Linked DNA regions of Drosophila melanogaster. The protein of the gene in region 1 purifies or fractionates together with the protein of each later gene. This does not show direct contact. Each region holds a gene or a part of one and is shown in the gene's direction. Other genes may lie near its edges.

The links.
Region 2: the proteins of vnd (region 1) and D1 purify together in Drosophila melanogaster (affinity purification with western blotting, with the first as the bait; one study listed by BioGRID). This does not show direct contact.
Region 3: the proteins of vnd (region 1) and Oli purify together in Drosophila melanogaster (affinity purification with western blotting, with the first as the bait; one study listed by BioGRID). This does not show direct contact.

The regions. Positions count from the first base shown.
Region 1 is NC_004354.4:587,792-598,248, forward strand, and holds vnd (ventral nervous system defective), read left to right. Parts: upstream 1-3,250; 5' UTR 3,251-3,603; coding exon 3,604-4,160; intron 4,161-5,856; coding exon 5,857-6,515; intron 6,516-8,564; coding exon 8,565-9,520; 3' UTR 9,521-10,028; downstream 10,029-10,457. UniProt on the Drosophila melanogaster protein: Probable transcriptional regulator involved in the regulation of the proneural AS-C genes and the neurogenic genes of the enhancer of split complex. Could specifically activate proneural genes in the ventral-most neuroectoderm.
Region 2 is NT_033777.3:9,234,770-9,242,396, reverse strand, and holds D1 (D1 chromosomal protein), read left to right. Parts: upstream 1-1,742; 5' UTR 1,743-1,885; intron 1,886-2,129; exon of another isoform or gene 2,130-2,195; intron 2,196-2,328; 5' UTR 2,329-2,492; coding exon 2,493-2,907; intron 2,908-3,225; coding exon 3,226-3,878; 3' UTR 3,879-4,314; downstream 4,315-7,627. Other genes in the region: Vps15 (vacuolar protein sorting 15), read left to right, coding at 1-578, 636-1,250, 1,315-1,546. UniProt on the Drosophila melanogaster protein: This satellite DNA-associated protein is a double-stranded DNA binding protein specific for tracts of pure at DNA. It may play a role in organizing the higher-order structure of euchromatin as well as heterochromatin.
Region 3 is NT_033779.5:17,586,372-17,593,530, forward strand, and holds Oli (olig family), read left to right. Parts: upstream 1-2,812; 5' UTR 2,813-3,208; exon of another isoform or gene 3,209-3,840; 5' UTR 3,841-3,868; coding exon 3,869-4,440; intron 4,441-4,500; coding exon 4,501-4,627; 3' UTR 4,628-4,896; downstream 4,897-7,159. Other genes in the region: CG6870 (uncharacterized protein), read right to left, coding at 5,327-5,740; Sytalpha (synaptotagmin alpha), read left to right, coding at 5,953-5,962.

The DNA.
Region 1 (10,457 bases):
GAGGGGGGAGGGGCTGCAGCCAAACGAGCATTAAATGAATTACTGAATGAATAAGTGTGAATAAGTGTCAGTGGTAGTGTGAGTATGTCTGTGAATGGCTCCGAGTGTTCACATGTGTGTGTGTGACTGTGCGTTCGTGGCACGCTGCTCGAGGCTGCTGCAACATGGCCGCCTAATTGTATTCGCGTTAAGCAAACACCTTTTGCCAAATACCTCGATTTTTACGCCTGGCGAGGCGTTTAATTGGGGTTGTTATGTTCGGAGTTCCCGCTCACATATACTCAAATGTATGGGCCGGGTCTTTTGCGCGGTTTGCCTGCGATTAACAGCGTCGATTTGTGACACCCAACATACTTTATTGCATTCGAATGCGAGTGGTTTGGTGCATTGTGTATCTGTCGGATGCGAATGCGATTGGGCCAGCACTGTCACACTTCAAATCAAACTGCCAAAGGACAGCTGGCCCTAACTGTGTAGGAAGGATCCTAATGCGGACTCCAAAGATCCCAGCAGATGGACTTTTATGAACCAGCATTTAATTTTGAATTTCTACTTACATAACTGATATAGAATCTATTGAAACAGCGACTAATTAGCAACACAAAGTGCAAGCTAATTAAAACCATTCGACGATGAAAAGTTTTCGACAAATATAAGAGAGTCAGTGTCAAGTAGACACTTTTAAGTTGAAGAAAACATCTTGCTGTCTTTTCTCATAAACTCTATAGCTGTTTATGTATGTCAGCCGCAAATAGCCCTCTGCTGTCGGTGGACCTCCACCCATTGCAACGCAAATATATTGAAAATGTATTCACAAAAAAATAAAAATAAACTAGGCAGTGCCCAAATCCCTAAAGGCCGAGCAGGAGGACGACAAGGACGAGAGCTACAATTGAAGTTGTTTGTACTTAGAAATAAGCACAAACAAAGTAGTTTGAAGTGCGGAAAATACAGAAGCATGCATACAAAAATAAATAAATACACAAATAAAGGAGCAGAGGGCAATAAAAAACAAACGAGTTTTTGCGGGAATCGAATTGAATTCGTGTGTAATTCGAATGCCAGCGCTCCACACAAACACAGATAAATCCATGAGATACTAAAACTTCCTGCGGAAGCTAAGCCATAACAACAACGGCGACGCACACAAAGGTTTTACTTTGATATTAAATGCAACATCATTATTAAGCCCAATAACAATGGCCAACAACGAACGCCCGGGAAGATGGGCGTGCGCACATGGGAGAAATTTCCCCGAAAAGTCCTTTGGCGTAACCAAAATTTCCCAAACATGCGCGTCAGCGCACGGTGCGCACGGTATAACTCTCCTGCTCGCACGCTCTTCCCATTGGCCAGGCGGCCATGACGCGCCCACTTGACGGCGACGTCGTCGTCGGCAGAGGTTATTACAAGATAAAATTCTACCCCCTCCACTTACCACCTCCATTCCCCCATGGGGAGAATAATGGTGCGAAGTCATGAGCGACAGTGGGGTGCCCACTTTTAGAGGGCGGATGCTCGTGGATAGGGATCATGGAGCTTCCTTCATATACACAACATATATTTATATATATATATATATATATATATATATATATATATATGTATATGCATATTCTGATATATGTATATAGCCCCCAGCCCATATGTAAATGGGGCCAGCCCCAACGGACTCTTGCCATGTTTTCAATTGCCTCGGGCGGATACCCCCAGTTCAGTCTGTCCTGTCGTTTACTGCTCGTGCTGATTATGTATATTCCCATACTTTACTTTCGACCTCCTCGCTCGCACTCTCCCTATCTGTGAGTGTCCGGGGTGTGTCCCGAAGCCACCTCTCAAGGAACGGCGCCATGTATTGGCGTTTGAAGGATCTGCACTAATCACGAGTTGGCTTACGAGTATGAAATCGAAATTCAAATTGCACGAACAGCGACACTCCTTGTACATAAGGCCCCTATGTCAGTGCCAAAGTGGTCTATAACAGTTCCGTTGCACGCAAGAAATTTATTGCAATTCCCAAAGAACGTACCGTGAAGTAAACTAAATGTCCAAGTATAATAGCATACCACTAACACGGCAGAAGAAAATAATGCCTTCGCAAAAATAACGTTCTTTCACCGGTATGGTAATGTGAGAATGCCTTTAAAAGGGTTTTCGCAGTGCGCCTTTTAAGTATTAAAATAATAGTTCGTGGTTCAAAATAAGATTTCGTTGCTGACTAATATAAAATCACAAATATGTGATCAATCCTCCCCAGATCTAATCATGGTTGGTACTCAAAATCTCAAAGTATTACAACCCGACTGGGATTTTAAATGATGAATTGATCTGATTCTTAAATAGCCAACTACATATAGAAAAGGCGAGAGCGTAATTCCAGAAAATTTTTCTTATCGCCCTCGTTCCTCAATAGGATAATGGCTGATATCACCATCTGATATTATCGTGCTAAATGCCGGTCACAATCGCATGTCTTGCCCTGTCCTGTCCTCTCCTTGGACCCACCGCATAGGCGCCACAAGTCGGGGCTGATGTTCCCGCTCCGGAAGTCCAGAGTTGCAGAGAGCTGATAATGATAAATACAATTAAATGACGCGGGGAATGCTGACAACATCAAGTGCAGAGCACTGCTGGAAGAGAACGGCCCAATCCCAGAATCCCTATCTGGGAACGTCAATCCGACGTGCCTGAGGAGGTTCGTGAGGCGCTACAATGGCCTCGCATCCACACTCACTCTCGCGCACACACAAGCAAACATACACAGAGGCTGCAGCACACACACACTCTCACTCAAGTGGCACTCTTGAGAGCGGCAGAGAAAGCAACAGGAAAGAGTTAGAGCGGGATGACGTGCGGCATAAGGACTCGGTTCACATCGTACGTCTCGCTCTGGCGACGAATGGTGGTTGGTTCTCTCGGTGGTTGAATAGGCCACTCACATTGTTGCCGTATCCTTGTTGAAAAGGACATAAGAAGCCACTTAGCGCGCCCAACAAAGCCGAGAGTCTCTCCAGTCTGGCTGTGTGCGTGTGTGTGTTTGTGTATGTGTGTGTGTGTGTGCGACTATCCGAGTATCTGCGTTATGTACCCAATGGCAGAGGGATGCAGATACAGATATGCACCACATACATAGTGATACCCAAAGACACCCCGAGCATACGACCTGGTACTTTTCTGCCGTTGGTTGTTGGGTTTTGGTTATTGGCTGTTCTGAAGCGACTTGGACTCGTGTTGAGTTCTTGATGCCTCGTTAGTTGTTGATGACACTTCAGTTTGGAATGTGTAGAGTGCGCTGCTCCGCGGACCCGTGCAACTGAGAAATCGAGAAACGACTCGCGACCCTTGAACTATCGAACTTTCCCGGTGATAAACTTAAACTTAAGCCTAAATCGAACTATGTCTGGAATTTAAGTTGCCCTACCAGGATACCCGCTTAATTCATCGCAGTGCTACCCAGTAACTACACATAAACATATTTTTTTTCCGTGCTCCGAACACCGTAAAAGCTCCAAAGTGGCGGAGAAACGCAAAAGTCCGCCCACGCCGCCACCCGCGTCGCAGCGTAGTAAATCAAACAGTGGTTCCCCGATATCGCAAAGCGATATGACCACGTCGGCGTCCTTGGAGAGGACCCCCTCAAAGCGGGATCGAGATCGCGAGCGGGACAACAGCAGCGGTCTGGGCAGCGCTGGCAGCTTGCCCGCATCGCCCCAAAGCGCTATCACGGTGAGTCCGTCCTCCCCAGCCACGCCGAAGCGCCCGCTGCGCACCTCAACGCCCTCGCTGGAGCGGAAGAGGGAGCGTGAGGATCGAGAGGACCGGGAGGATCGCAAGGAGCGGCAGGAACGGCACGAGCGAGACAGAGATCACGAGAGATTCGCCGCAGTCTTCAGCACCGCCAGCACCACCGTGCCCACGAACACAAGTTCCAGTTCCGGATTGGCGCCCGAACAGCTCCGCATTCCGACGGGTGCAGCCGCCTTCAGCGGATTTCCGGGGCTCCACAGCATGAGTAGTCTTATGCTTCCATCGTCGGCGGCTGTGGCCGCCGCAGCAGCGGCCCCGTTTCTGCCCTGGTCGCCCATCCTGCTGCCGCCGTGGAACCACGCCCTCCTACCAGCCGCCTTTTATCCGGCGGCCCTGCGAAACGCTTTGCCTGGGTAAGCACAAGGATTCCAATGGAATAATTAAAACATTGATACCTCTGGAGTGGTGAACACAAACCTATGATTCATATGTCTTGGTTACGAAAAGCATATTTTGGTGATACGTTGACACAAGTCCATTCTAGTTCTTCTAATTATGACCTCTGTTTTGTGGGCTATTTATAAACGCTTAAGCATTGGTAACACTTTGATGGCATGGATCTGGCCAAGATATGGATAATAAGGACATGCCTCAGATTGAAACAAAATTACTGACCACCGACAATACGTTTGCCTTTCATGGCTGACCACTTTGTAAAAAACAGATATGGTTTTCAAGGTTTTGGGTTCCCGATTAATTTTCTATGTCTTTCTATTAATTCTCCTAATCTAATAATTTGGAAGATTGGGCGTTGAAAGCAGAATCTGCAGAATACGCAAGACCATTAATTAATTCTCCTAATCTAATAATTTGGAAGATTGGGCGTTGAAAGCAGAATCTGCAGAATACGCAAGACCAGCCATACTTTGCAATTGCCTTCGCCTAAGCTCCGACTTAAAATCACACCCTGCGAGCCTCTGCCTCCATATTAGTGTTTAGATCCCATATAGCTGATGGACTTGTCCGGCTAATCCTGGTAGCTCTTTAAATTAACCAAGCGGGCACAGCGCGCAAGTACAGGACACAGGGTATAATTCCCCGCCTCTTTGATCTGGCAAGTACTCAAGGTCCTGGCGAATGGCGGTTGGGAAATTCTGGCTTGTTGTTCGACCCTGGCTTAGAAATTCCCGTAGGTGAGAGCCAGGGAAACCCCAATCGGGAATGACATGTGTACGACAGACATGGGACTCAGATGCCTTCGAGATACTGGCGTCACACTGTCTGGCAATGGGATTTCCGCTCAGGAGGACGGGGAATGCCCGTGTAGCCTGTCCATAGCGTGGGAAATTCGCGAGTCGGGGTCTTCGGGAAAACTCGAAATGGGAAAACCGGAAGCAAGCAAACTTGCGCCAACATGTGGCACGACCTGTTTCGACCCGTAAAGAGTCCCTGCTGACCTGTGCTGACCTGCACTGACCCGACCAGGTAGCTGCGATCCTTACGAGGCGGATTTGCGTTTAATTGTTGATGGTATTAGGCAAATCAAAACTCGGGGTCTGACCGGGACTAGGTGTCAATAATCCAGCGATTTGGGTGCACTTATTCAAAGTTAATTCCGGGGGAAATGTGCGCGTTTTCGGTTCCGAAGCATGCCTGCAGGATGCACACCCCCCACCTCCTTATCTTCTTAACAACGGCAAGTGCAAAAATCTGTGAAAGTCAGAGCGCTACAGGTAGTGCAGGTAGTTTCCTTTGCATATCCCGACCAACAGGGACCTCCTTTTGTTAAACCTTCCGGCCATTCACACGATTGACACAGGATGTCGCTGCAATAAGCATGAAACAGGGAAAAATCGTTCCACGTCCTCTAAGGAGCCATCTTTATACTCGGGGAGTCATTAATCACTCGATTATATGACAATTTGCCGGGACAATTAAGAAACTACACAGAATCTCAAGAAAAACTATTACAACTCATCTTTGGTATGCTTTTTGCCTTTTTTTCTTTAAAACTGTAGGCGAGTGCTCAATTGAAATGAGAAATAAACATTTAACTCAAATTTTTAGTGTTGAAGTTCAGTTAGAATTAACATATTGATCTCCTTGCAGCTTATTCGATGCAAAGGTGCCGTCGTCCCAACGCTCTGGCTTCCATATATCGGACATCTTGAATTTGGAGGGCTCTGAGCTGAAGAATGCAGCAGCTGCCGCCGCTGCTGCCGCCCACCATGGCAGCGATTTGAGTCACCACTCGGCCAGTGAGTCCACCAGTGGACATCGCGGCCAGGGATCTCACACCTCGCCTTCGGCGCTGTCGCCCACGCCAGCGGGCGTTTCCGCGGACGAGCACCACAATGGCAGCGGGACTGGGGGAGGAGCGGGAGAAGCGGATCACCACAGCACCACCGAGCATCACGCCCCTCCTAGCCATCCGCAGCAACAGCACCCGCACCACCAGCAGCACCACCACCCTCACCTCCTCCTCCCGCAGCAGCACCATCAGCAGGCGGTGGCCCCACTCCCTTTGGCGCACCATCAGAGCGGCGAAGCCCAAAGCCACGCCCATGCCAATGCAGCCGCCGCCCATCTGCTGGCCAGCCACAATGCAGCGGCTGCGGCTGCTGTGGCCGCCGGCCAATATCTGCCCAACCTGCCCAAGAACTTCCCGGGGAGCTTTGGCGACGAGATGTCCTCGTACCACCACATGGCCCAAACCATGCTGCAGCACTCGGGCAGGAGTGCGTGGATCAAGGAGAACGAGCTATACGGTGAGCGAATGTTTCAACTCATAAATGGATACGCATGTATCCATTTTCATTTGCTCCATTTCCAGGAGATAGCTCCTGGCCATATCAATAACCAAGTTAGAGTTGGCTTTTTGAAGAAGCAACACTTAAATGGCAGGTTGTAAGCAAGTCTTTGGATCCCAAACAAATATCCTTTTGAATCGTGGGTAGGCAAAAGAGCAACGAATTAACTTGGTTTCAAAATAGACTCATCAATGAAGTCCGCAGGAAGCTCCCTTTAAGAAATTTACAATTTTCGACTGCATTTAACCCCCGATTAACTGGCCGACTAATGATACTGTTCCGTAACTAACCACTCACTGCTCCCGAGAGCCAGAGAGTTGAAGCAGTCGAGCGATGAGGCAGCTGTATTTGCATACCCTGTGGACTCGACGGATTCACGTGCTTCCAGGGTGTGACAAGCTTTGTTTAATTCTGGCCCTGTTGTGTTTTATTTTCGTTGGCAGTTAACTGCGGATCGAAATGGGTATATAACTGGGAATCAAGGAGCAGGGGTTGGGCTTCCCCTTTAATCATGACTAATAGTTTGTATGCGCTTCACACTTGAGGATTAGCCCTGTTGTTTTTCTGGCAGTTGACGTCCTTCGTGTCCTTCGGCCAGGACATTCAATCGCTGCCCGCTCGATCGCTTCTTGTTGTTGCGGCCCAAACATTTCTCATCCTGGAAATTTATGGCACGCACTTCCGCCTCATCCCTTCCCACTTCTGTTATTATTCCTTTATTGTTTAGCTACAAATTATAGCTGCTGCCCACTTGCCGTTTTTTTATTTTCTCTTTTCTGCTCTTTTTTTGGGAGTTTCCACAGCTGTGAAGGAGTCGAGGAAGAGTCATTTTGATTATATTAAGTTATTAATTTGTTGAGTTGTCATGGTGAGCGCATGGCTTCCGTGGCAGGGCAAATGCGGCTAGCTCGGTGGGAGCTGATAGGCGAGCATTAGGAGCTCCTACGACCCTTGCATTTGTTGTTTTATCAATGTCCCACGGGGACATCACCCCGGGCAGGTGAATACACACATTAGAAGACATTTTATGAAATACATTGCAATAGGAATAGAAATGCAGATAGGACGCGTTCCGATTCTTTGGAATGCTGCCTTCGCAGCACTATATCCAAAAGTTCGAAAGCTAGGAAGAACTAAAGGGCTTCTTTTTGATTTTCTATAGTTACATGCCTCGTTTGAAGTTGCCTGAATACTGGCATAAGCCCACTTCTAATACCTCTGCAACCGCAGATCCCGCCCCAGAATATCAGAAATAGCCACACCCGGCGATAAATCACTAAATCACTATCTGTTGGAAGTTCGGAACTCTTGCGAAAGGGGGCGAACCGGAAGAGACCCGGCTACCATTGATGTGTTTGAGGTCTGGCTTTTGTGTCGTTGTCCCATTAGTATCCTGGTTGCTGGTTTTTAGTACAGGCCCAGGATCAGCAGTCATTCAGCGAGAGATCGAAGCGATCGTTTCAGGTAGACGACAAGGGAATACCCACCTAGGCATGTATTTTTGTATGTATTTGTGTGCGATCTCTGTTTGTCTCCGCCTAATTGGCGTTGTTAGGGTGAAGCTCGTAGGGGATGGGCAGGGGTTGATTTGACGCTGCGGACCATAAGGAGTGCATACATCTGGCATTTGACATTTGGATCGTTTCCGACCACAGCTTCATGTTGCGCCTAATCCAATTGCCGTAGTTGCGATACTGACTTCCCCCTTTTGTCCCGAATTCTGCATGATCACTTGGACGATGTGGAGGGGTGTGTCGCTACATTAATTTACGGCTAAAGAGGTTTCTCAATTGCTGACAAATTCCCACCCAGGGCTCGCACCCTGCCATTGCCTTTCCATTCTGTAGGACCATTGTGAAAAATGCAAATAAATAAATGGCTATCCCAAGCAATTTATTCCTCAATTAGCAGCATATTAAGAAGGGAGTTTTCTCCCGGTTTTAGCCATATATCTACTACGAAGAATTAGCACATTAACCAAAACCTTGATTTCCTCTTTGATTTCAGGTACCCAGCAGCCCGCCAGTCCGGATAGCACCTCCCCAGTTACCTCGGAAGTGTCGTACACCTACATTGGTTCCAACTGCCAGACATCGCCTGCCCTTTCCGGCGATTACAAGAGCTACAGCCGGTCGGCCGATAGCGATGCACTATCCGTGGGCGACGCCCTGCACACCCTCCATGGATCCTCTGGTAATGGAAGTGCCGGAGGCGCTCCGACGGCCCATGCCCTACACAACAACAATAATAATACGACAAACAACAATAACCACAGCCTGAAGGCCGAGGGGATCAACGGAGCAGGCAGTGGTCACGACGATAGCCTCAACGAAGATGGCATCGAGGAGGATATCGACGACGTGGACGACGCCGACGGCAGTGGCGGCGGGGATGCAAATGGATCCGACGGTCTGCCAAATAAGAAACGGAAGCGACGAGTCCTGTTCACCAAGGCGCAAACATATGAGCTGGAACGTCGGTTTCGACAACAACGTTACTTGAGTGCCCCGGAACGCGAGCACCTGGCCAGTTTGATCCGCCTGACGCCGACCCAGGTGAAGATCTGGTTTCAAAACCATCGCTACAAGACGAAGCGGGCGCAAAACGAGAAGGGCTACGAGGGTCATCCTGGTCTACTGCACGGCCATGCCACCCATCCGCATCACCCCAGTGCCCTGCCATCGCCCCGTCGGGTAGCCGTTCCAGTTCTGGTGAGGAACGGAAAGCCCTGCTTGGGCGATAGTTCCAAACTGGGAGCCGACTGCGTCTCCGTGTCATCAGCCACCGCCACCGCCATGCAGAATGCCGCCGCCCATCACTTGGTTGCCCTAAATGGAGCGGCCGCCTATCAACATGCCGCTGCAGCGGCTGCCGGCCTTCACGCCCACGCCCATGCTCATGCCCACGCCCACGGACACGGCCATCCACACGCCCACGCCCAGAGGGCCGCCTGGTGGCCCTAATATTGCTAGGAACTGGCATTCACGGGACTGGGGGCGGATAGGTGGATAGTCAGGCCCGTGGAGCGATGAGCCAGAAGACCACGCCTCCAGATTCCCAGTGAAGCCAAGTAAAAGAATATACAATAATAATTGAAACACATACAAACCCCTACTAGCGCTCAGTCTCCCGGACTTATCCTTGAGTCGTTTCTGTACATAGTTCATATATATAATCATATATATACCTAAATGACATAAATTTATCCATTCCTGGATATCAGACCAATGCCCATGACAAAAGAAAGCTACATTTCCTTCTAAATAAAAATCAATTTGCATAATACTAGTGTCTCTTGTCAAGCGCATTTAAGTCGCATAAAATTTAGAAGTAGATTCATTTTTTTTATTTTTTTTTTTTAGCCCTAAGTCCAATCCCAAAGATAAAATGTGTAAATATAATATAAAAATGAAGTAAATCTGAAAAATAGATTATTTCAAAAGAGAAATAAATAATAGGAAATATGCAACTAAATCTGTACTATATACCATATAATCAATTCAAGCGTAATAAGTGTTCAAATTTTTTAGACAAAACTTATTGGCCTTTTTTTTCTATGAATACATATATAATATAGGCACTTAGTCCTAACACATATTTTTTTCGTGCGTGTGTGCGTGTATAGAGAGTAAACGATCTTTGAATTTATAGCAAGTAATGAGTTCATAAATTGTAACAAACAACAAAGACAGTACGCTGCGGAGACGGCAAATGTATCCAAATTGCACAACAAAGCAAATCAACACTACGAACTGCAAAGTACATGTCAGAGATTTAATAAAAACCAATTACATACATTAAAGCAAAACGATTTCATTTTACTGCCAAAACTTAAACTCGGATAAAGGACCGATTAAATAACAATATACATATGCATACAAGACCAAGATCCCATGAGAA
Region 2 (7,627 bases), on another chromosome or scaffold:
CTGGGAGCTGGCGGACTGGCCGGAAGTCCGGCTTCTGGAGCCGTAGTCCTTGGAGTGCCAACTGCCACAGTGAGTGCGGCCACTTCGCTGGGTGAATACACAATGCCGGAACGAAACTGTTGGCTGGAACGCTCCTCCGAGTGCCGCAAGGATCTCGAATCGCTGACGGCCAAGATTAAGAGTCGCTACAATGTGTTGGCCATCTCGCAGCGTTGCAGCTACGACAAGCTGGTGACACCCTATCCGCCAGGCTGGCGGATGACTGGCACTTTGGTGGCTCACCTGCACGAGCATTCGGAATCCGTGATCAAGCTGGCTTCATTGCGGCCCCACGGATCACTCTTCGCCAGCGGCAGCATAGACGGCACAGTGCGATTGTGGGATTGCAGCAAACTGAATGGCAATCAGGGTGTAAACAAATCGAGGCAGGTTTATTCGGCCAATACACCCATCTATGCACTGGCGGCCTGTGATAGTGGACAATCGCTGGCGGTGGGCGGCAAGGATGGCAGCATGCTGATGATGCGAATCGATCGGAATTCCGCCAAAATGACGCTTCAACAGGCCCTAAATCAAAAGTAAGATGACTTCACTTACTTAATTACCCTATTACAACATAATCATTTCATTCGTAGTGATCATAAAGACGGTCCTGTTGTGGACATGCACGCCTACGATCAGGCCACGCAAAGTGTCATCGTGTACGCCACGCTATATGGCGGCATTGTGGCCTGGGACACGAGGATGCAGCACAGCGCCTGGAGGCTACAGAATGAACTCCGTCATGGGGTGATCACAACGATCTGTGCGGATCCAACGGGATCTTGGCTGGCCACCGGTACCAGCGGCGGTAAGCACATCTGCTGGGATCTACGCTTCCGTCTGCCCATTGCGGAAATCAAGCATCCGGCGGATTCGTGGATACGCAAGGTGGCCTGCCATCCCACAGAGCCTTCATACCTGATCTCAGCCTCGCAGTCAAACAATGAGGTATCCGTGTGGAATATAGAAACGGGACAGCGCCAGACGGTTTTGTGGGCAAGTCCGGTGGCGGCTTTATCGAGCGCTAGTCCCAGCGATCCGGCCACCACGTGCGGCATTCTCAGTGGCGTGGTCGATGGTTCACCCTTTATTCTCACCGGCAGTTCGGATCAGCGGATCCGGTACTGGGACATCACCAACCCAAAGAACTCATCGCTTAAAGTACCCGCTGCCAATGACAACCTGGCAGATGTGGCTTTCAACTATGGGTAATTATTGATCTGTTATTATAATGATAATATAATAAAATTATCAATTCATTCCACCCTTCAGTGCCCGGTTAATCGATGGCAGCCAAGTGATCGAGGAGCAAATCATTTCCATGGCCAGCACGGGCGACTCGCAGCAGCTGCGATCGTCCACGGAGGAGAATCCCCGCTCGGGGCCGGATATGCCAACGGCCAGTCACCACGATGCCATCACGGATCTGCTGATGTGCAAGGACAAGGGCCAGATCTACATAGCATCTGCATCGCGAAACGGTGTCATCAAGCTGTGGAAGTGAGCGCCCACTAAATAGTATTTAATTATTCAACTGTGATTAGCCTAATAAACTGCAATATGTGTAACTATTTAATAAACGGTTGCTTCTAAACTGTACTCTCTTGTTTTAAAAACTTGGAGCTTGGCGCTTCAAGCAAAAAAAAAAATTTGAACACAACATACCATATTTTAAAATAGTAGGCCAGCCGTCTCATGTAGTCACTTCAAACTTGTTTAACTTTTGGACATATGGATAGCTTAACTTGGTTGTTCACGCAAGAAGGAAGTTCAAAAAATAATTTTTGGTTATTGCTTTAGTTCAAGTTTTTTATAAATTTGTTTCTTTTGATATTCCTAAACTGTAAGTAGACAATTTTTACACCTTACAATTTCCAAAAGTAAAAAGAGTTTTTCACAAAAGCTACGTTTCATTTTATGTTAATACATAGTTAAAATGCAATATGACCAAATGAAAGGGAATTGTTTTACGCAAACTTAAATTAAACGGCCTCAATTTTGAACGCATCGATGCAGCGCTTAATCGATATCAAATCGAAAAAAATATCGCAAAAATTATCGCTGCTCGATGCACCGACATATTTTTTTTTACATCACTACTTTGAACTGTACTAGCGTGCGCGTATTTTACAATTACAAATTGAGAAGGCAAAGTAAGTAACGCAAGTAATTCCCTTTCGGATCTGGAAAAACTAGAATTTTTAAGAATTTTTTGAGAATATTTTTTGCAGCATTTATGCGCATTCAAGCCCTAATGCAAAATTGTTTTTCTGTATATTTTTCCAGCTTGATTTTCGGCAAACAAAAAGGTGAAGAAGAAGAGCGGAGCCAAGCGAAAAGAGTGAGCGTGTGTTCGTGAGAGAGAGCATTTGTGCGCGTGTGTGTGTGAGGGGACGCGAAGAAACAAGGATTTTTTTTATTCGCTTGCTAATTGAATCCCGTACAGAGAAATGGAGGAAGTTGCGGTAAAGAAGCGCGGCCGACCGTCAAAGGCATCCGTCGGTGGTAAATCTTCAACAGCGGCGGTTGCAGCAATCTCGCCAGGCATCAAAAAGCGCGGTCGTCCCGCCAAGAACAAGGGCTCCAGTGGCGGTGGTGGACAGCGGGGTCGCCCACCGAAGGCGTCAAAAATCCAAAATGACGAAGATCCCGAAGACGAGGGGGAGGAGGACGGCGATGGCGATGGCTCCGGCGCTGAGCTTGCAAACAACTCATCACCCTCGCCGACGAAGGGCAGGGGACGACCCAAGAGCAGTGGTGGCGCCGGATCAGGATCCGGGGATTCGGTGAAGACGCCCGGTTCCGCCAAGAAGCGCAAGGCCGGCAGGCCCAAGAAGCACCAGCCCAGCGATAGCGAGAATGAAGGTGAGCCTATGGTAGTGCAGTTAGTACGTAAATCCCCAACATTTCATGGTCTCAATTCAATTAATGGAAATTTAAGCACTGTTTGCTTCCACCAAACTTGCACTTTTATCTTTACGCTACCTGGTGATTTTTTTTCGAAGATCACAGGTAGAGTCATGATTTCAACATTCCGCAACCATGCAATCAATCAAAATCAAAAATATGTAAATGGTCGATAGACCATTGATTTACCTTCACAAATATTACTTTAAATATATTCCTGGATTCATTTCATTATTATACCTATTAACTAACATTGCTTTGTTTCTTTCAAAACAGACGATCAGGATGAGGACGACGACGGCAACAGCAGCATCGAAGAACGTCGCCCAGTGGGCCGACCGTCGGCTGGATCCGTCAACCTGAACATATCGCGCACGGGACGCGGCCTGGGAAGACCCAAGAAGCGGGCTGTCGAGTCCAATGGCGATGGGGAGCCACAAGTGCCCAAGAAACGCGGTCGTCCACCACAGAACAAGTCGGGTAGCGGTGGCAGTACTGGCTACGTACCCACCGGTCGTCCGCGCGGTCGTCCAAAGGCCAATGCTGCACCCGTCGAGAAGCACGAGGACAATGACGACGATCAGGACGATGAGAACTCCGGGGAGGAGGAACACAGCTCGCCTGAGAAGACGGTAGTGGCGCCGAAGAAACGTGGACGTCCCTCTCTTGCCGCTGGCAAGGTGTCCAAAGAGGAAACAACAAAGCCCCGTAGTCGCCCAGCGAAAAATATTGATGACGATGCAGATGATGCTGATTCCGCCGATCAGGGCCAACACAACTCCAAGAAGGAGTCGAACGACGAGGACCGTGCCGTGGATGGGACACCAACCAAAGGAGATGGCCTCAAATGGAACTCCGATGGCGAAAATGATGCCAACGACGGTTATGTTTCGGATAACTACAACGATTCCGAATCGGTAGCTGCCTAAAACATACAATTTATAAACATTTCCACACACCCCTCCCCAAAAATCAACACAAAAAAAAAAGAATGTTGTAAAAGCAAAAAAAAAAAAACGAAAAAAAATCTGCAAGTAAGAGAAGAAAACACAAAAATGGATAGGACCTACTTGGACTTTAGAGAACCTTCCCCTCCTAAAACAACACACTTTGTCTACATATATATTCCGATTTATTGCTGAGAAATCGGACAAACCGTTTACAACTGCACTGCACTGTAATGACGACACATAGCTCGGAAAACGATTTCAACTTGGATTGAAATTACCAAATAAATAACACATAAATAACATATTTGGGGAAGATTTCAAGTTCCGAAGTAGAACTGAACTTTATTGTAACAACAAATTTGATTTGATTGCAGAAATTTCAATCGTATACAAGTTTAAATAAACCTACTATACCTAAAAAAATTTTGTGTAATTTAGTTTTTATATATATCATTTAACATATATTATCTATTGATATAAACCAGATGGAAAAATATGTAAATCCATGGTTGTATTGATTCTTTATATACAGTGTTCACTGTACTTTACATTATATGGTCACTCTGAAGAAAGTGAAGTTATAAACGGTAATTGTTGTAATGCTATTTTAACAACATTAAAACTAGGGCAACTAGTTAAATGCATTATAGAACATAAAAATCAATTAATTTCTCTAATGGGATAGTAAATGAAATTATAACTTACATATAGTAGTATGCTAAATTTTTGGTATCTTAGAACTATTGGAGAGTGTTTCTCAGTGCGCTTCGCAATGGTATATTTGAACGGTCGAGCTGCGGTCACACTAAATGTTCGCGCGTAAGAAGAAGCAGACCTAGAACGGCGTGCTTGTAATATGTAAATTTTTCAAATAAGCTAAGGTGTGAGTACCCAACAGCTATAAAATATGAAAAGTATTTTAAAACTGCCAGCCTTATGCTGATAGTTCGACAGCATTGTTTACATTTCCAATCGGCGGTAAATCACAATCAAATTTGCGGCTGCGAAAAAAGATCACAAATTGATAAAAAAAAAAGCCGCAAACAAAAACAAAACAAACACCCTGGTGCGTGTGTATGTATGCGCGAGTGTTGGTCTGTGAATGTGTGTGCTCAAGTGTGTGTTTGTGTGCGACTGGCGTCTGATCAAATTTGGCATGCCCCTAAAATCGATTGATAAATAATATATAAACAATTTGGCTGGGGCAGCGTAATTCATTTGCCAGGGTGAATATAAAAAAGGGGGTGATGATAAAAGAACAAGAAAATGTGTAATCAATTTATATAAATATTTTGCGCGCATGTTAATAAAAGTAAAATAAATTGTCGGTCTTTTGCGCTCGCACCCCCGCTCTTGCTCTCTCTCGCACTCTGTGGGCATGCTCACTCGTTCTCTCTGTTGATTTCGCACGTTTGCCAACACTGCTCTCATTTTGGGGGGTTCTTGTTCTCTCCTCTCTCTCTAGCTCTTTGTTGTAGTTGTATTTGGCCAGTGTGTCTTTGCATTTCGCTTTTATTATCGTTCTGCGACGGACGGCGGCGACGTTGAAGAAATTCCTGGCCGATTTCTTCTTCATCATCCTGTGTAAATAATTGTAATTTAAATAATCTAAATTTCGTATTTAACGAAAGCACACACACCATCAAATCAATGGAAATGCAAACGAGAAGGCTTTTTTAAGTGCATGTGTAAGTGTTTCAAAAAAGGAAATGAACAAAAAAAAACAGCTAAAAACCGTAAAGTACTCCTGTTTCGTTTTACATTGTCATCATCGGGTTTCCTTTTCCATTTCGGCGGCATGAGTGTATGTGTGCATTTCCAGACCGCTTTTTGTACATATGCAAACATGTATAAATAGTTTGCGAAATTAATTCGTATTTTGCCCGAAAAAGGTAAAAATCAATTAAGTGTGTGCCTGAATAATTTATATGATTCCTTTCTTTTTGTTTGGTTGGTGAACAAATTTTTCCGATTGTGCGTATGTGTGCGAATGTGTGTGTTTCATTATTTCCTTATACCATCGTGTTCTTCCTTTTGAGCGGTGGCCATTTGGCTGCTCTGCTTCTTCCTTCTCCCCGCGTCCCCCCGCCAAACCATTCAGCTCCCTCTTACGTGTGTGTGTGTGCTCTCTCGCTCTTTCTCTCTCTCGGGACGCCTTGCAATTGTATATATGTGCTTTTCCCAATAAGAACGCCTAACTACCAACTAAAATATTAAACAATTCAAATGGTTTTAATTCCTAATTACTTATTGGCCGCACCTCCTTTGTTTTGTCCGCCATCTCTTTTATGGTTTATCTTTATGTTTGTTTTTATATATACCCCCCTCCCCTAGAAGTGTGGGTGTGTGCGAGCTTCCAGGGGCACAGCATTCGCGTTCTCTCTCTTCCTTTTCGCATGCTGCACTTGTCTCTCCTTTTTTGGGGGGCTTCTTGGGAGGCACGAAAGGACCGAAAGGGAGAAATGGAGATATAATTCTCGTAAACAACCCAAAAACAAAAAAAAAAATAATAAAATAAAAGACCGACCCACTCGCATTCTTTTCGCTGAAAACGTAACCTCAAATGTTTGCGGCCGCCTTTCGCCTTCGTCTTCGTTTCGTTTTCTTCGCCATTCGTTCTGTCGCATTCGCTCATCGTCTGCCGGCATCGTTCTTGTTGTTGTTCTTGCTCCTCTGTGTGTATGTTAATTTTATATGTTTTCCATTTTCGACCGCCCCACCACCCCCCGCTATACGTCTTTCCGTGTGCTTTCCGCGGGAGGCGCTATAACAATAATTCTGTTCACAAGTTTTCCAGATATGTATAAATTCTTAGATGTTAAACAAGCCGCTATACGTCTTTCCGTGTGCTTTCCGCGGGAGGCGCTATAACAATAATTCTGTTCACAAGTTTTCCAGATATGTATAAATTCTTAGATGTTAAACAAGCCGATCTACAATGTAACCAGATTTTAAAAAGGGATTTTGTTTCTGTTTTCATTGGATTCCATATTTTGTACAATGGATATTATTATAATCCCAAACTATTATAGAATTTCATGTTAAAAGAGTAAAACAGGATTTGAATAATCAGATCTAAAGATCATTTTCATAATGTTGAAATGCAATGGTCCTAATGGTGATTTATAAAATTTCGTTAAAACCTTTTTGGAACTGCAACATAAACGCCATTGTTATCGTGTGCCAACTTTTTGTTACGGTTGCTAAGCACTTACGAATAGATAAAGTCTGAAAAGTTATGTATTGATAGTCACTGATAAAACTAGCCTGCATCGTAATTTATTAAGAGTATTAATCCAATCGGTCTTCAAAGAAACCAAATTATATTTTCCGTATTTTTCGAGCATGATTCAGCGCTGCGTTGTTCTTCTATGGATAGTCTGCTTCTGCGACTTGTTCTTGGGGCTCCTGTTCCTCAAACGTAAACGCAACGCACACACTCCCCCCCCCCCCCCGCAATTCACCACTTATCGGCATCTACTTTGTTATTGTTTTCGTAATGGGGAAATCATGGCTAATATTTGCCTTAGTCGTCTTTCAGTTTTAGAAGAAATTGTTTTGCTTTTACGCGTGCCTTGTGCGTTTTATTTTGTTGATTATTATTATGTGCCCTGTCTGCTGTCTGTGTTATCGGAATCTTTTCTTTACCATGACCAGCTCAAAGTTTTTAATCGCACAAAAGTACAGTGGTTCGAGTGTCGTATTGAATTGGGAATAAAAACTAGCAT
Region 3 (7,159 bases), on another chromosome or scaffold:
GAAGCCATGCTCGTATATCCAGGAATCAACTGAATCTCCGAAGAGAGGACAAGCCAGGGCGGAGGGCAGAAAAAGCCTCTTCATAAATGTGCCCAATTGGTTTTTCAACAATAAAATGCTAATGATTGATTCACATTGCCCCATGGAGTGCCGTTAGTTCGAGCCAAGGCCCCACAGAGCCAAGGATTCTATGGTTTTGTCTAATTTGCGCATACCCAAACATTAAATTGGGGTTTTCAGGCTTTTGCATTTGTAATTTTGCCTGACGAAAAAGTCAGGGTTGTAAGTTGTCTAAAGCTCGAATGAAAGATACCTTAAAACTAAAGTTCAAAAGCATTTTCCATGATATTTACTGTGATATATTAAAAAACTGCATTAATAGTTAAAAAGTACATTGAATAATTTAATAAAATTAGTTAACAGCGTCACAAAATGAATAGAGCCACTTATGTCCATACCCGCGGTGGCTTAGTTCGAGGGTCATCCATTAACCCATGACAACCCTTTGACGGATCACGAGGTACGAGCCAAAAAATCCCTGGGCTGGCCATTTACAATTGGTCCGCAGTGCGGAACCTAAGCTAATGATGACTGGCATGCACAAATGTACAAATCTTAATTATGCAAATCACGGTCGCGCATAAATTATGCAAATTATAATGAAATTCCTCATTGCCTTTGCCGGACCTGGGATCCGGGAACCCGGATACGGAACAGCGACAAATGCCCATATATATGTATATGGATTGATAAAAATGTGGCCATAAAATGAAAAAACCGAAAATTTAAATTTCGGCTGGCCCGGGGTTGAAAAGTCGAAATGATTGTGTTGGCCGTAGCTGAAGCGCCGTAAATTGCAATGTAAATGCTGCATATATAAACTGAATTAGTCCCAGAACAATTACAACAAGGGAGAGTGCACTGCGATTGCAAATATACCCGATTCCGATCCCGAGCCCGAAACCCAAAAAAAAAAAAAACTCTCACAATCACGCAGCAAATGGTGCATTGCCTAGAGGGGCTGTCCAGATTCCGGATTTCATTGAAAATAATGGCATACGGTGACTGCTGCCCCGAACATCTGACACAATAATTTTCCCTACGAAAGGAGGGAAGCGCAAACAAAGGCCAAATGGAAAAGTTGCCAGCGCAAATTATTAAATTTATCATGCGCGAAGTCATTAGGTCTGTCGCCCGTGCTCGTAGTTTGACTTATTCTAAGGACTAAACGACTGCAGGCAGCTCCACGCACACACACTCCGCCACTTATACATAAATGTCCTGCGAGGCCCGAAGTGTGGAAAGTCATTAGTGGGCATTGCAGTTGACAGGAGGATGGAGATGCTGGCTTTGGATAATAAACATCTGCTTTAGCTATGGAACTTGTAAAATAACAAAGTTTATAACTTTAAAAGAGGCATCTTCGAAAAATTATTTCAAATTTTGACTTAACAATTTACAAGTCGATAAAAAAAAGAATGTTCACAGATTTTTTCGATTAAATTTTATTATTAAAAAAATTCTCTATTGATTGATTTTAAATATTTATCAGAGCAGCACTAACAAAGAATCTTCATCGGACGACTTTTTAAAAAAATGTTTGATTTTCATGATAATTTTGTTAGGTTGTCATTTAAACAGCGGATTTCTAAATATTTCAAAAAATATTTCAATTGAAAAACACTCTTATAATACTCTTAATTGAAAAATGTGTCCTTTTATATTTAAATTAATAAAAATATACCCACACCCAAAGATTGCTTAAAACTAATAAATACAATCAAATAAATAAATATGTGGCCTAGATCTGCCTAGCACTTCCTATCATTTTCCATACCTTTTTCTAGCTTATGCCTTTGCCAACGAAAATATTTGGCATGTGCCATTTATGGCATTGTTCCAGCTTTGAACAATGCGATACCATAATTTCCAGGCAACTCGCAAACGCACAAACTCGCTCACGTAGAGAATGCCATGCAGATGCGGCATCCTCTGAGCTATGCTGTATATGGGCATATAGGCGAAATACTAGGATGCACGGGCTATGGACGGCTATTCGTGGTCCTTGTTCCTCGTTCAACCCCCTAGGACAGGAATCCAGGACTGGCCAGGCGGCCCAGGATCAGCAGGCAGTGAGCATGTGATTAGATTCAGTTTCAATGGAAATTGAAATCACAGACAAAGGAGCGGACCCGGCGGATTCAGGGTGCGAGGGGTGGTGATGGGCCATCAGGGTTGAAAAGGAGCGAAGCGATAAAAATCCTGAACAACAAGAAAAGTGAATTTTCGGACAGGCAGGGCAAAGGCATTAAAAACTTCATACACTTGTAAAAAATTTGACTGCACTAAATAATATTCAACAATTAAATGCAACTTTGAGAGATAACAAAAGTTTTTGGTTTTCGTTACAATCAAGTGTGGTTATAGTTAATTATTACTTAACCAATTGAAAAATGCAGACTTTTATTTAATATACAAAATAATGATTAATAATGAATAGATTATTAATTAGTATGATTTTATACCATTTTTAAATGCAAATATGTAATTGTTAACTTTTCAATAGCAGATTAGATTTATGTTAGAAATTATTATTATTTTGTGTAGGGTATATCTGATGCTATATGTTATGTTTCAAAAAGGTTTCGATCATTAGTAATCATTTTTTTTTCTTAGTGCTGAAACTGTGACTCATTCACCTTTGTGAGTATTGGTAATAATCGTGCTGTATGTATTGGTGTGGATGCTGCATTATGCGAAGCCCAACCACTAAACGTCAACCACCGGCGTCGACACCCGACCCACATTTTATATAGTGGCTCATAATATTCCTTCTGCAGAAAGAGATTAACACCAAACGGCGACGGTGGCGTCGGTGGCAAAAAGTTTATAATCATCCTCGCTGACAGAGCGAAAGAGACGGGCGATTGGAAAGCATAGGCGGAGGCAGGGAGAGAGAGAGAGAGAGTGAGCGGAGAAAATCGGAAAATCGTTATGCGACTACTATAACCCACCACAAAATCGCGGTCGTCTCTGTTGTTGCCGGGCACCTCACACTCGCGCATCGATTCCGATTGCGATTCAGGATCTGAATTTTTTGCCTGGTTTGTGGTGCGTGCGATTTTTAAAAATGTTTAAATCCGCAATTTCTTTCTCCGTGCTCTGTGCTCTTCGTCCCCTTCGTACACCGGCGAACTTGTGATTTGTGGTTAATTTAAATTAATAATCTTTTAAGTGTGTCATGAATTAACTGCAAGTTAAATAAAGTGCTGCGTCGATTTTGCATATTTTATAATCCATTTCGTTGGGTTAATAATTGCCAAATTTATTATTTATATATATTGACGTATAATTTTAAAGTTTATTGTTTTCTGAAGTGCTGCGCTCCTAAATAAATTTAATGCCGCTAAAATTGTATTCGCCATGAAACATCATATTAAACCATCCCTTAAATTGGACTACTACACAGCGCCACCTATGAAAAGCTTTGATAAGCTTATATTCATCTTGTTAATCTGACTACCGCGTAATATTTTGGCTTTGAATTTCCGAAAGGCTTAACGATTATTTTGCTTTAATTAAATTTAAGGAATACCTGACAGACGTTTGCAATTTGTTAAACCATTTCGGGTTAAAACACAAAACAGATGCTCCACCTATAAAAAGCTTTGCTAACCTATTAAATACATAAAATTCCGACAGATGGCGCTACCGAACAGCTGAGCATACGAGTATTCACCCCTATTTTTTAGTTTTCTTATGCAACCCTGCATCATAATAACTTTGATTTGCAAGGACTACCCTAAAAGATTACACATCCCTTCAACCTTTTTTTCACAGCTGGAAAAGTCCCATAAAATACAAAAAAATGGATCCCTCGAATCTTGCTTTTGGTTTTCCCGGTCTCCCCAACCACGGACACATGCCAATACCTCCTACAGCCAATATGCTTGGTGGCCAGCATCCAGCACCCACCGCCAGCCCACCACAAAGCGTCCCCGGCCGTCGGACGCCACTTGGATCGGTTGGTCTGGGTGGTTTCTATGCCCAGGGAATGGGCATGTCCCAGCAGCCACCGACGGATGAGAACAAACCAGGGCCCAGTGCTCCGGAGAAGCCATTGAGTCCCACGGCCGCCGCCATCGCAGCCATTGCCATCAGTGGTGGCACCACCACGGTGGCCGTGTCCAGTGGTGGCGCCAGCGGAAGTGGCTCCAACAGTGGCAAGCAGAAAAACCGCCAGGGAAAGACGGTAAGGCTGAACATAAATGCCCGGGAACGACGAAGGATGCACGATTTGAATGATGCCCTTGATGAGCTGAGAAGTGTGATTCCCTATGCCCATTCGCCTTCTGTGCGAAAGCTGTCGAAAATAGCCACCTTGCTGCTGGCTAAGAACTACATTCTGATGCAGCAAAATGCTCTCGAGGAGTTGAGAAGGTAACGTAGTTCATTACCACGCTCAATAGGAATTATTAACATATATGCTTTTACTTTTAGACTTTTGGCCTATATACAAAGCACCACGGGAGCAGCGCCACTGGATTTGGGTGCATTTCCGGCGGCTGCCAAGTTGCAGGCTCTTCTTCAAGGACCTCACAACGAACCACCGACTAGCAGCAGTTAAATAGGAGTGGGGGCCACCATAAACTATGGTTCAACTGATAAGCAATCCATTAATGAGCAATACTTTTAAGTCAATTGGAAAGCAAATGCCAAATACTTGTGTACTAGTCAGACGAAAGGAGGTTGATAAGGAGCCTCTTATCAGAGCAGCCAAGTGAAAATCTGTTCAGTGATATTTATTTTTGTCATAAGCATTTCTTATTTATGCATTTACCCAATGTCAACCAATATGTGTAAGATGAATATTACCGAATAAAGTATTATTGAAGTAGAAAGTATGTCGTTGGAAAAGGGTTTGGTCATTTAGGTTTACCCATCAGCACTGATAGAAGCCTGTCATTTTTCAGAATCATCAAACAAACAAACAAAATAAGAGTTTCAAATACTCAAACACGCCCAACCCAACCAACCATTTATAGTCATCAGATAACAAACATCAAAGAGCACAATCAAATTTAAAATAATATAATCTTAGATCCGTTTCAAGTCTTGGCAAAAATATTTAACATATAAATATACATACATAGTTGTCTGTATGGTTTTTGATGATTAAGCAAAAGCCGTTTAGCGGAATTCGAAATAAGCGGATTACAACTAGAAAACTAGTCGATGAATACTCTAAAAATATATATATATATAGACATATACGACATGGAGGACGGCGGCGAAGGCGATCGGTGCAAAATCGGCTGGCATTATATTATTCCGGTATGCCCAGGGACAAAACCTTGTTTTTGCCAGTGCGAAAAATGTGCTGCTTGGTGGGCAGTTGACCGATCAAGAAATCCTTCATCATTTCGATGGCATCCCCCGAGTGTCCTGTGCCATGGAAGGCGATGGTGGCATCTCGCCCTGCGTGATCCATAATGACGTCGTCGCCGCCGGGATGATCCCTTAGAAAGTGTGTCACATCGTAGACCCTATCGTAGATTACCACCCAGCAATCGTCGAAGCTGTCGTGCTGGGCCACCTCCTCCAATGCGATCTCCGGCAGATCTTCCAGTTTTAAACGTTCCTTTTTGCTTGGTACAACGACCACCTGATTACTGGACTTTCCATGTCCCAAGGGCACAATTCTCAGCGATTGCAAGAGGTTCGTCAACGCGGATGACATGTTGTAAGTATGCAATTACTTTCACTTTTACTAATATTTGATACAACGATTTGTAATGCCGCCCGATCACTTCAGACAGCCGGCAATCGATTCAAGTTGAGTTCTGCTTGGTCGGCTTCAGTTCCAGTTTTACTTGGGGTCTTGAGTGTCTTTCGTGTGCAGCCACCGGTACTGGAGTGTCATTCATGCCTTGGATTGTAATCGTTTTATAAATGACAACACGTGAGTCGATCGATGGAGCCGACAGCATGGTGATAAGACTTCGTGTCCAGAGAAGCGAAGCTCTTATAGATCGGTTTCTATATAATATATAATTATATATATATATATACATATATGTATGTTCAACCGAACTGGTTTGCATCTACATATGTTCATGGGAGGGCTAGGCATTGCACTGAGATTGCGAGATTTTGCAATAATGTTTTGTGGTCACTCGTACTCATATGAGTCAATTTCCGAATATGCTCGTAAAGACGAGCATAAATTATATATTTCTCTGTTAATCGGATTGCTCAGTGAGCTAATTACTTGCTACCTTATAAATTTAATGGGCCAGCAATTATTAAAAGGGAGACATTTAACGCGCCTATCAGCATTACAATTGATTTATTGGCACAAGTCAAACGTGCATCGGGCGAATCAATTACGTCTACTCGAACCGTTTGATCGCCAGTCATTAAGGCAATCAAAATAAATTTTGGGTTAATAGCCTGGAGTTATTTACTTTTAATACTTAAATGCGTTTTAAGTTTGCCAAAAATCACGATTTGTGTCAAGCCACGTTTGTTCTAAATTCTAATGGGAACAGAGATAATGACTTCAATATTATCGCTCACTACAACTTTGAACTTGAAATTGGAATGGATTCGGAAATTATGCCACGCTTTTGAACTATTTGAACCATGGGAATGATTTTAATTTTACATGGAGTGAGTACGTTTAATCAATAATTATTACGAAACTAAAGATCTGATGAAATTATTCAGACTATTTAATTTCCCATTTATTAAATTCCAGACAGAACGCCATTCACTAATTCTGTACATTGTATTGTATAAATAGAAAATATTGCAAAGCTAAGGAAATAGTTCAAACTACGCAATATAAAACATAAATATTATTCAAGTAAAAACAACAAGAAATTATTTCTAAATAATAACTTTTAAGACGTCACGATTCAATTGTTATTGATCATTTATTATTTTCAATTGAGTTCAAGTTTGATGTGTGGTTTTAACAAGATTTGGTAATCTAATATGCTAGCATCTCAGTGTTAAGATCAGCATTATCACGTTAAGTAATTAACCGCAAAAATATTCAAAGTCGTAACTGAACGAGCTCTTTAAATGGGCTAAACCATTTGACTTTGACTTTGAGGTTTACATGAACTAGGTGTATCCATATTAAATATCTATT